Linked DNA regions of Nothobranchius furzeri. The protein of the gene in region 1 purifies or fractionates together with the protein of each later gene. This does not show direct contact. Links are inferred from orthologs where the notes say so. Each region holds a gene or a part of one and is shown in the gene's direction. Other genes may lie near its edges.

Region 1 (3,755 bases):
CATCCAGGGCAGGCAGGTGTGTTATTTTCTCTAGTTTTGATTAATCTCTGCAGGGCCTTCCTGTCAGCTGCAGAGCTGCTGCTGTACCACACCAGGATGCTGTTAATCAGCACACTCAGTGATTAACAGCAGCAGTGATGAAATGACACCAGTACTTTTTATGGCAGGTTGGTCTTCCTGAGGGCCCTCAGGAAGTATAGCCGTTTTTGTGCCTTCTTTATCAGACAGTTGGTGTTGTGTGTCCATGTGAGGTCCTCTGATTTGTTTGTGCCCAGGAACATGAACTGTGAGATCCTCTTCACACACTCTCCATTTATTGTGAGTCACTGGTGCTCCACCTTTTTTCCGTCTTGGGTCAATGATGCTTTCTTTGGTTATGTTGGTGTTCAGGGTCAGGTTGTTAGCTGTACACCAGTCCTCCAGCTGCTGCACTTCTTCCCTGCATGCTGACTCATTTCCATGGCTGTGTGTGTAGATGAGTGAGGACATTAATAAGGATGTTTCATGTCTCGTACAACTTCTGCTCCTGTTGGGGAAGTTTCACATACATAAAAGGCAATGGTAAATTTCACAAAGAACTAATTACATACATCACTACAATTAGTACTCTTGAAAATAAAAAAAGCTATTAAAACTATGTGCATTATGGACAAACTTAATATGACATTTGATTAATATGCTCTCTGGTTTTTTGTATTCTTTTTGTCATTCTTTCTGTGTTATTCTTGTGTTTTACCATAATTTTATAGATACTTTGTATCTTGTTCCATGTTTAGCTTGTATTGAAATATCTTGAACATTAATTTTTTTTTAAAATAATAATAAAATTAAAAAACTGGGTAATTGATTCAATTGCACAATTTCACAGATAATTTATATATTTTTCTCAGATATTTTCTGTTGGGTTGAAGGAGAATGGCAAAACAAAACCCGACCAGAAAGGCTACAATAACGGATAAAGCATCTTTGGTCATAGGGGACGTGCTCTTGGCTGACTTCTACTCTTAAGTCTTAAAACATGATTTTTAAACAATGTTTGTGCATCATAATACAGAGAAACATAAACCTTTCCATTTGTACTTTATTTAATATGAAAAACCTTGTGGTAAACCTGTGGGACGCAAAGAACACCAAATTCAGAGAATCACCCTTTTGTATATTTCAAACAATCATTTTTCAGGCAACACTTTACCAACTTTAACAACAATAACGGTCTTTCTGCTTTATTCACGAAAACCGACGCCCTCGTTGCTTTACTCGACTGTTGATCGAATAATTGGATTTTATTTGTTGTGTTTTCCGCTCGGAAGTGTGTAACGTCTGAGGTCACGAGGGAGGAGGAAGCAGATCTGCACAGCTAAGATGGCGGAGGAACAGCAGGAATCATCACAGGGAGAGGTGGAAGGTAACGAAATGATTTGAACCATCCAATATTCTCTCACCTGCGCTGTCATTTCCCTGTCAGGTGAAGCCCACGTTTATGTTAGTCCGCAGCCCGCTTTAATCCACCCCTCTCCGAGTTTAAGGTGGCTGACATTCCACCTTAAGGGCCAGAACTGCTTAGCTAACGCTAGCAAGCAGCCGCTGCAACACAAAGAAAAACGACGGTTGTTAAGTGATTAACAGAGAAATAAAACATGACAGTTACGCGGTTTTATACTTAAATTAATATCAGATGTATGAGCTCAGTGTTAAGGCAGAATATATAAGCTTAATTTATCTTTGGAGAACAGTGACGTTTTTTTGCGTTCAAAATACGTTTTGTTTTCGATGCTAGCCAAGATTAGCTGCGGTGTTCTGGACTGGATCAACTTGTATTCATGTTCTTTCATGGTCACTGGGGTAGAAGAATTTCTCAATCTAAGAAAATGAAGTTCTTAATTCCCCCTTTCATTGCTTCATTAACTCAGCTATCGGTTTTCAGAGAATTTGTTCCAGAATGACGAAACTATGCGTCGTTTCAAACATCAGATTCATTGTCGTGTGTACCAGAGACAATGTCACATATTACAATTGATTTAACATGTCGTGCATTGTCCTGATACCTGAGACATGGTCTGTGTGGACTCATGAAAGTGACAGAGTTGTAGTCGAGTGTAAAACTTTATAAAACAGAACACAATAAAATTGGATGTTATACCAATTTAATGAATCAGGTGCAACTTTGTGTCTCTAACTGAATAATCATTAATCAGCATTAGTTAAAAAAGACTGTGTGCATTGCGGGTTCAGATTCATTTATAATAAAAGTAACTTAGTGATAGGATAATATATTGGGTCAATATTTACAATTTTTTTATATTAGCTTTGGCCGATAAATTTCTTCAGTAGAGCCGATTTAATTTAATTAATTATATATATATATATATATATATATATATATATATATATATATATCACACAGTTTATAAAACTACAAGAAGCACCATCACACAAGTTGTCCAGAGACACTACAATATAAAAATACACACTGTTGTATGATATTGGAGTTTGCTTTAGTTCATTTGTAGTTTATAATACATTTGGTCCCTTTGTGAAGTTTGTTACTGTTATGGCAGCGAGACCACGTTAGAATGAACCCAGTCCTGAAATAGTTGCACGGTCAAATGTTAAGGGGAAATCTTCTGGTTCTGTAACCAGTTTAAACCTGTCTAACCTTTTCATCAAACACAAATTTTAATATTTTTTTTAGTTTAACAAGTTTAGTAACACTGAAAGGGTTTGTTTCTCTTTATTATTACACATATTTGATCTGTTGTGCAAACCCAGTCAGTTGGTTCCTATAAAACATTTTTTAAATAGAAACTTACATTAAAGGGGCATTATGGAAGTGTGACAGTCAAAACATGTATAGAAATAATAAATGTCTTCTTCATACATTCTCCTGCAATGCCCTGGTCCTGTAGAATGAGCCCTGGCATTTTTACTGTGATTGCCTGTTTTTCTGTAAAATCACAGAAAAAGAGAGATGCTCGGGTCGAGCAGGCTGCTTCATGCGCGTTCACGCTCAGGCATCGCCCTCCGAACCGTTCTTTGAACGTTGTTTCAGCTGTCATCAAGGATATAAATGTTACAGACGCAGTAGACACCACTGGCGATTTAGCTCGCCTAGCAAATTTTTGGACTTTTGTGCAGAAGACCCGGTTCGATTCTCGACGTGAACATGGTTGTTTCAGAATTTCGTTTTTACAATGATATATTTTTTTACAGTAAAATGCCCAAATTTTTATCTGAGACTCGCCGAACGGCATTGAATTCACAGATGAAAAAAGATGTGGGTTCAACTTTCATTTTGGAACAATTTTTCAAGTAAAGGAATGGAATGATCTGAGCATGCAGGAGGACTGACCTTTGTTGGCTGTGCTGAAGAGAAAAGTACAGAACCAAATTATTTAATTAATTAGCTGCACGTTCTCCTGTCCTCCGACACACACACACACACACACACACACACAGCTTCACAGAGCTTCGTCTCAGCTGTTATTTTCGTTAAGGAGTGTGCACGTACAGCATGCGCACCTCGTACACGAGCCTACTATTGAAGCTGCCATTACGCTTTTGGCCAGAGGGGGCAATCACGAGCATAAAAATTCAAAACTCCCTAAAGTCCCTTTAACTACAAATATCCACAACAAACAAGTAAAGCATGGCTAACTGTTACCTTCTTGTGTTTAATAACAACAAAATGAATAAATCATGGTTTTGATGTTACAGGGGTGAAATGTGTCATCCACATCCCATAAGAAATGTCTTTG
Region 2 (3,682 bases), on another chromosome or scaffold:
AAACCCCTCAATTAATGTCTGCCTTTGTCAGACTATCTAACAGAATACGGATGTTTACGCTTAACATGCATCAAATTGTATACATCCAAATGCTTTCTCTCTATCTCGGGTTAATACTTACTGCATTGTTGTTCTTTGGACACTATATTCAAATCGTCCCACAAAGTTAAAAACAAACAACAGTTAGTCAATTCATGAAATCATCTTTTGTTTCTACTTCCCGGGTTTCTTCTTTGTCGTCTTTTCTCCGACTTGCGCAGCCGCATGTGGGTGATTTAGCGCCCCCTAGAGTACTTCTTGTCCGTTGAGCTTCTTGTTCCCATTGGCCCGTTTTTACCACGTGATCAACATGAAGGGGGACACCACCCACAGCGCCAAAATTCAAAAACGGTTTCTGACTTGACACGTAAACAACCTGTAATAAAGGCTTGGTAGCTGTCACATATCTTTTATCAAAAATGTAATACGAGCGAAGTGCTCCACAACATCAGCGTTGGAGTTCAAACCAGCGGAGCCGTCTGAAACAAGAAATATGAAGGTCTGGCTTTATTTAGTAGCTTTGCTGTTAGCAATCAGAAGCTACCACCAGCAGCAGTGGTAGCATCGGGCTTTTAAGCTGAAAACCCATTTTCTTAGATGAGACATGGTGTTGTTAGGGCCCAATTTAAGCTTCAAACGTGTCATTGTGTCATAACCTGAAATACTATTTACAACGTATACAACGGTTAGCCATGTCATTGTGAATAAACGTTAAATTATACTTCCGGTGTGAATTTAACGCCTGAATTCTCCAGTTGCCAAGGAATAAAACCTCGGATAACCACTGAGCCGTAACACGGATACGTTAGTCGGAACTTTTTGTCTTAATAGCGTAACCCACAGCGTGTTTTAATATAACATGAATTAATCGTGTGCTTTAATATTAATAGATACGTAGACACGTAAAATAACAACTTAACTTTCCACCGGTGATTTGCGTTACAACGGTTTTCTGATATGATGCAAGCAAGGTAAAGAAAAAAAAATGTGTTCCTAAAATATTCTTTATTTTTTATTTTTATATATATATATTTTTTTTATTTTTCCCACAGCTTACCAGTGAATTTGGATGGACGTTTCAATGATTTGACCATGAGAAGGAGTCCGAGGAGACCCCTTATCCTGAAAAGAAGAAAACTACCTTTTCAGCAAAATGAAGCAGCTGACGCACGCTCTCCATCTGCTGCTTCAAGCTCCAAAGAATCCTCAAAACCAGCTGCCAGTCAGTGCCTCCTAGATGGTGTCCACATCATGGGTCATTCATCCATGTCTGACACTCAGGTGGTTTTCATCCCCAAAGACGTGGATCTTCAGGTTGTTATTGATGCCATTACTGCAAAAAGTAAAGAGTGTGGTGACCAGGGTCCAAGCAAGTTCATCCTTCTGAGTGAGAGTGGAAGCCGGGACAATGGATCTTCTTGTCAAGAATTTGCCAGAGAAGAATCTGTTCCTACGAGGAGTCCAGTTGGACAATCTGTAAGCTCGGAAGCCACATTCAACACTGAAGCTGATCATCAATCTGGCTGTAAATACGGTATGACAGTTTATGCTGTCTCTGATATCTCACCATCCCATATCATTGTCCATTTAAGCACTCTTCTCTTTCATCAGTGATTAAAGAAGCGAGTTGCAGCCCGTTAGACGACAGCCTCACAAACATCCAGTGGCTGGGCAAGATGGACTCCTGTGCCCTAGAGCCGGATTCTGAAGAACAGACGACAGACAAATCGATTCCAACATCCCAGAATTTACAGGTCAGTCTTGCTTCTTTTTGTGTGATGCAGATGGCCTACTGAGTTCTGACAGGACTCCCGAGTGTCCCCTAAAACCACAGACGAACTACTGACTGATTTACAGGCTTATTTGGTTGCTACAATTAGAATGGAGGTTAAATATGATTTTTTTAATTAGATAGTTGGATTTGAAATTAAATATTTTAGTATTTCTCAGTAAAAATTCATCACTCTGGGCTACAGTTGGAGCAGCTTCAGACCCATCTCTAAACTTCCGTTCATCTCCAAGATCTTGGAAAAGGTTGTGGCTAAACAACTCACAGCTGCTCTTGATGAACATAACATCTATGATAGCTTCCAGTCAGGTTTTCGTAGAGCTCATTCTACTGAAACAGCACTTCTTAGGGTCTCTAATGACCTTCTGACTCACAGCGATGCAGGGGACTGTTCTGTTCTGGTCCTGCTGGACCTGACTGCAGCCTTTGACACTGTTGACCATCACCTGCTACTGGAGAGGCTGAGAGACTGGGTAGGCCTATCAGGAACTGCTCTGGAGTGGTTCTCTTATCTCTCTGAGCGCTCCTTTTCTGTGGTCGTCTCCAAGTTTAGGTCCTCCACCACCTCCCTTACCCATGGTGTCCCACAAGGTTCTGTGCTGGGGCCTCTGCTCTTCCTCCTCTATCTGCTTCCTCTTCAGCACATCCTGAGCTCCTTCAAAGGAATCTCCTACCATCTTTATGCAGATGACATCCAACTGTACATCTCCTTTAAGCCCCATGAGATGTCTAAGCTGCAGCTGTTACACACCTGCTTAGACTCTATCAAACCTGGATGGCTGGGAGCTTTCTACAGCTGAATGAAGATAAGACTGAGATCCTCATCTGTGCCCCAGACAAGCTGGTTCCCAAAGTCAGAGACTCTCTTGGTCAGCTTACTTCTCACACCAAACCTTCCGTCAGGAATCTTGGCGTGACCTTTGACCCAGCTCTCACCCTGGATTCTCATGTCAGTTCTCTTGTTCGCTCTTCCTTCTTCCATCTCAGGAACATTGCTAAGCTGAGTCCCATTCTGTCCCGCTCTGAACTTGAGACTGTGCTCCACACCTTCATCTCCTCACGCTTAGACTACTGTAACTCTCTTTTCACGTGTCTGAGCAGAACCTCCCTGAACCGTCTACAGGTGGTTCAGAACGCCTGTGCTCGGCTTCTGACCAAGTCCTCCAAACACACCCACATCACCCCGCTTCTCCTCCAGCTTCACTGGCTGCCAGTCAACTTCAGGGTTCATTTCAAGATCCTGGTTCTGGTCTATAGGGCCTTACATGGACAAGCACCATCTTACATTGGTGATCTTCTTAGTCCCTACACCCCCAGCAGGTCCCTGAGGTCCAGTGATCAAAGCCTACTGGTTGTGCAGCACCAGGCTAAAGGTCAAAGGTGACAGATCATCTGCTGCTGTGGCCCCCAGACTCTGGACCTCTCTCCCCCTGAGCCTGAGATCAGTGGACTCAGGGGTCTCCTTTAAAAAGCAGCTGAAGACTCACCTGTTCAAGCTGGCTTTTGTATGACCTTCTTCACCTCTCTCTCTTTATTCTGCTCTCCTCACCTATTCCACCTTCCTCAGGATCCACTGATTTCCCTCTTTCCTGTTCACTCTCTCTCTTTCTTAACATTTTTTTAATCACAATTGTCTATTTTTGCTCATTTTAATATATTTTTAAACATCTTCTAAATGCTTTTTTCTATTTTTACATTTTTTGTTTTTGTGAAGCGCCTCGTGATTTTTATCTTGAGAGGCGCTGTAGAAATGATACTTTCTTCTTCTTCAGTTGGATAAAATATCCTCTATGATTGTTGCACATATAGATGATTCTCTTTGTGTTTTTTCTGTGACTATTTGCAGCCACATGG
Region 3 (3,755 bases), on another chromosome or scaffold:
AGTTTCACGAGCGAGATGAATGGTTCCGTTCAAGCGTTTAGTTCGGCATTGTGAAAATCTGCGCTGATTCCCAACATGTTTGCGTTCCCAGCTGATGTTGATGCGCGGCGACAGAAACGAGAAAAAGAAAAACAAAACGCTCGAGGTCGAGTCAGCAGCAGCACGGGGGGAAGGGCTGCGTCTATGTGCTGGAGCGGTCCTCTTTTTCTCATTCTTGCTTCAAACCTTTAATTGTTACATTTATATGTGTCTTAATGCCAAAGGCAGCGGTTCACAACGAGAGCTGACAACACAGCCGTCGTCTAATTTCACGTTATTATTGTTTTATCCACAAAGACTTGAGGCCCGAGTCTTCGTTACCAGTTAAGTTTTTTATGAAGCGGGGAGGACTAATGCTGGATTACTGATAGTGCTCACGAAGAAAGGTGATTTGAAGAAACATATGGCGTGTATATACCATCAGACACGTTTTAATTTATAGCTTACGATACAAAATTACCATATTTAATGTTAACCACGAGCTAGCTAAGGCTAAAGACTGTTAACCGTAGCGGAAAGCGTTACCTAACGAAAAAAAAAACAGAAGGCGAATCGCTGTGAAATCTCGCGAGAATCCTATCTCATGTCTGCAACATGAGATCAAAACAAACAAGCTAGCTAACTGATGTGTAATGTTTTGTGTTTGCACCATGGTTTGCACATGATCACATCCTGGATTTAATTTATTCTTTCGGATGTAAATGTTTTCAATATCTTAATTTTTTCTAATTTTATTCAGACTTATATATATATATATATATATATATATATATATATATATATATATATATATATATATATATATATATATATATATATATATATATATATATTGCTGCTAGGCTATATCAAGGAAAGGTGGTGCATAAATGTTTAGAAAATTAACATTTTCAAATAAATAATTTCCACAAAAACCTTTTAAAAAATAAGACTGTTTTCCCCATTATTAAGCACTTGGTTTGTTCATTTTTATTCCAGCTTGTTTTGTTAATCCTGATAAAAACCAGATGTTTTGTTTTTGTCAACACTACACATTTGAAAATGTGTTCAGAAACATAAACCTCCCAAAAGGAAAATACTATTACCTACCTTTATTCACAAGTGCTCCACATTTTTGGGTTACTTTCACTTTTCAGATTTCCTCCCATTTCTCCTCAGGTTGCGGCTCTTCTCCAATCCTAACCGGTATGTCGGATGAGGATTCCCGTGCCAGCACCAGCTCATCCTCATCACCACCTTCCTCCAGCCAAAACAGACACAAGGATACAGCTTTCAAGAAGAAACGGGAGAACAAAACCAGCATGAGCAAGACCTCCAAGCTGCTTTCCACCAGCGCCAAAAGGTTAAAAGAAATCTGTCATACAGCAATGGGCAGATTATTGTTGCTCATTAGATTCATGTCTGTTTAAAACCCCTTAAGACAACAATGTTGTTTACATATAAATATGTAACTTTTAGTAGCTGCTGATGGCAGGATAAGCTCAGAAACATGAGTAAACGACAGTAGAATTTGTTTTCATGACTTCCCCTTGTGTATTTATTTAACAGTGAAAAAAACACATTGATGGTCAAAGAGGAACTAGTTTAATTTGTGCTTAGGCGGTTGCTTCTATAAGCCAGAGTAGTGTTGTAAACCATGTTTTTAAGGAAGTACCAGTTTCTTCTTCAGTAAAAAAAAAAAAAAAAAAAATCTTCACAGTTTCAGTCTCATTCAACATTCTTTTCTACAAAAACAGTCAAACAGCATTAAGGTGTGTAAGTTAGTTTTCTGATGCCATGTTAACTAGATCATATTTATTTTTAATCACTTTGTTTGATTCTGAGTAATTCCACCTCTGATCCTTCCATCAGTAATTGATTTTTGTAACATTTGCAGAATTCAAAAAGAGCTGGCTGAAATTACCCTGGACCCTCCGCCAAACTGCAGGTGAGTTTACGGTTTTATGGTTCTTTATGTACTCACCAGCACGACAGATCAGAGTTTTGTCCTGATATTGGCTGATCCAAACTTCCTAAATGTTGAAACAGGTAAAATCATTATTATAGGTCAGTTCACAGTTCCAATACCCACACTGCACCCTGTGTCTTCTGTGAAGTGCGCTTAGAGGAAGTGTGCAGTAAGGCTCTGTGTGCTGAATTGGGACAGTGGCCGTTGCATCATCGACCACTGTGCATGCAGGGATGCCGGTTGCTGTTTGTGCTACTTTTTAAAAAAGCTTTATTAACAATTTTTAAACAGTTGACACAATTTACATTCATTGCTGTTCACATTAAATTTTAATCTTAAACATTCAGTAATGATATTTATTCATATAAATATCATTAGTCGTCTTAAAATGAACTTCTTTTGTTTGAAAATACATATTTTCAAATAAGGCACTTGAGCCATTGTTCAGTCTTTTCAAAATGCCTTCACAGCAATGGGTTGTGGGTAATACCCTTTGCCCAAGTCCGCATCAAGTGTGCAAAAGGGGTGTGGTCAATTTCCGCACTTGAGGATTGGTACACCTTGTGCCCCTGGACAGGAATGCGCAATTGAAGGGCACAAGGGTGGAAGTGTGAGTATTGGTATTGAGCCTAACACAACAACACTGGTTGACTCCTGGTTTCACAAGAACATGTGTCTAGAATGAGGAGGCGGGGCCAAGCTGGTGAGGCTGTGTTGGGATATTCCACGTCCTACTGATTGTCCCTCACAGGGGCCAGTATTACCGTGTTTTCACTACAGGAGTTCAGGGACACTTCTGGGAGAGGGAAAATTCTATAGCTCTGTCCTATCAGCTGTTTCTCCAACCAATCAGCAGAACGTAACAACAAGTCCCGTCCAGCGGCACTACCGGGCCTTTTCCTCGTACTTGCTCCAATTCAGGTTCTAGGTTGGTTCCTGAAAAGCTCTCAAAAGTGGCCCTATTGAGTCGGCCTGGTGAACGTAACGAAGGTCCAGCAAAATGACCCAGATGTTCCAAAAAAATGAAATGGGCCTTCTGTGTTGCTTTTTCCTGAGTACCGTGGGAGAGTTGAATCCAGTGAAGAACTGAATTCCAACAGCAGAATAAAGCAGGTTTAGATGGCACCACCTACAGTAAAGGTAACTAATCAGGCTTCCCACTGTTATCAGATCTATTACCATGAAGCTTCGTTGCAATAAACAAAATTATGTGTTGTCTCAGTTTGAGTTACAAATAGTTTCTTTTTCCTGAATGGAAATGTCAAATACCAAAACATTCAGTTTAAATAAGCAGCTGTTCTTCCAAGAGGAACTAAAATATTAAAACAAATGCGTTTTCATCTGAAGATCTGTATTTACAGCTGTAACTGAAAGTTGAACTTATTTAAAAAAAAAAGCTTCCTTCCTGGTACTGAAACCAAATTTATACTTCTCCGTCAGCTCCACCAGGGAGAGAGACGCACGAATGGAGACGTTTTGCCCCCATACTTCTCCGTCTCCTGGGGAGTGTTACAAAGCAATTCCCCACCAGGACAATAGAGGGCGTAGCACTGTTCCGTGTTATCCGGTCCAAGATGGTGTTTATATTGTGTTTTTTGCATTTAAGAATGGCCAAAACACACACACAAATGCCCTGGGGCCTCATTTATCAAGCTTGCTTACGCACAAAACTGGGTTGGAAAACTGTGTAAGCAACTTTCAATGCAAACTTTGGGATTTATGAAAGAGAACGTAGCGGGAAAATGTGCGCAACTTTAAGTTGACTAAG

Evidence for each region.
Region 2: the proteins of otub1b (region 1) and foxm1 purify together in Homo sapiens (affinity purification with western blotting; 4 studies listed by BioGRID, with this or other methods). This does not show direct contact. The link is inferred for Nothobranchius furzeri from reciprocal best matches to the Homo sapiens genes OTUB1 and FOXM1.
Region 3: the proteins of otub1b (region 1) and ubiquitin-conjugating enzyme E2 E1 purify together in Homo sapiens (affinity purification with mass spectrometry; 4 studies listed by BioGRID and IntAct, with this or other methods). This does not show direct contact. The link is inferred for Nothobranchius furzeri from reciprocal best matches to the Homo sapiens genes OTUB1 and UBE2E1.

Annotation. Positions count from the first base shown.
Region 1 is NC_091743.1:88,838,220-88,841,974, reverse strand, and holds the start of otub1b (ubiquitin thioesterase OTUB1b), read left to right. Parts: upstream 1-1,133; 5' UTR 1,134-1,362; coding exon 1,363-1,405; intron 1,406-3,755. UniProt on the Homo sapiens protein: Hydrolase that can specifically remove 'Lys-48'-linked conjugated ubiquitin from proteins and plays an important regulatory role at the level of protein turnover by preventing degradation.
Region 2 is NC_091741.1:41,405,880-41,409,561, reverse strand, and holds the start of foxm1 (forkhead box protein M1), read left to right. Parts: upstream 1-881; 5' UTR 882-996; coding exon 997-1,010; intron 1,011-1,091; coding exon 1,092-1,573; intron 1,574-1,650; coding exon 1,651-1,793; intron 1,794-3,674; coding exon 3,675-3,682. UniProt on the Homo sapiens protein: Transcription factor regulating the expression of cell cycle genes essential for DNA replication and mitosis. Plays a role in the control of cell proliferation. Also plays a role in DNA break repair, participating in the DNA damage checkpoint response.
Region 3 is NC_091745.1:63,675,641-63,679,395, forward strand, and holds the start of ubiquitin-conjugating enzyme E2 E1, read left to right. Parts: upstream 1-1,226; coding exon 1,227-1,381; intron 1,382-1,915; coding exon 1,916-1,966; intron 1,967-3,755. UniProt on the Homo sapiens protein: Accepts ubiquitin from the E1 complex and catalyzes its covalent attachment to other proteins. Catalyzes the covalent attachment of ISG15 to other proteins. Mediates the selective degradation of short-lived and abnormal proteins.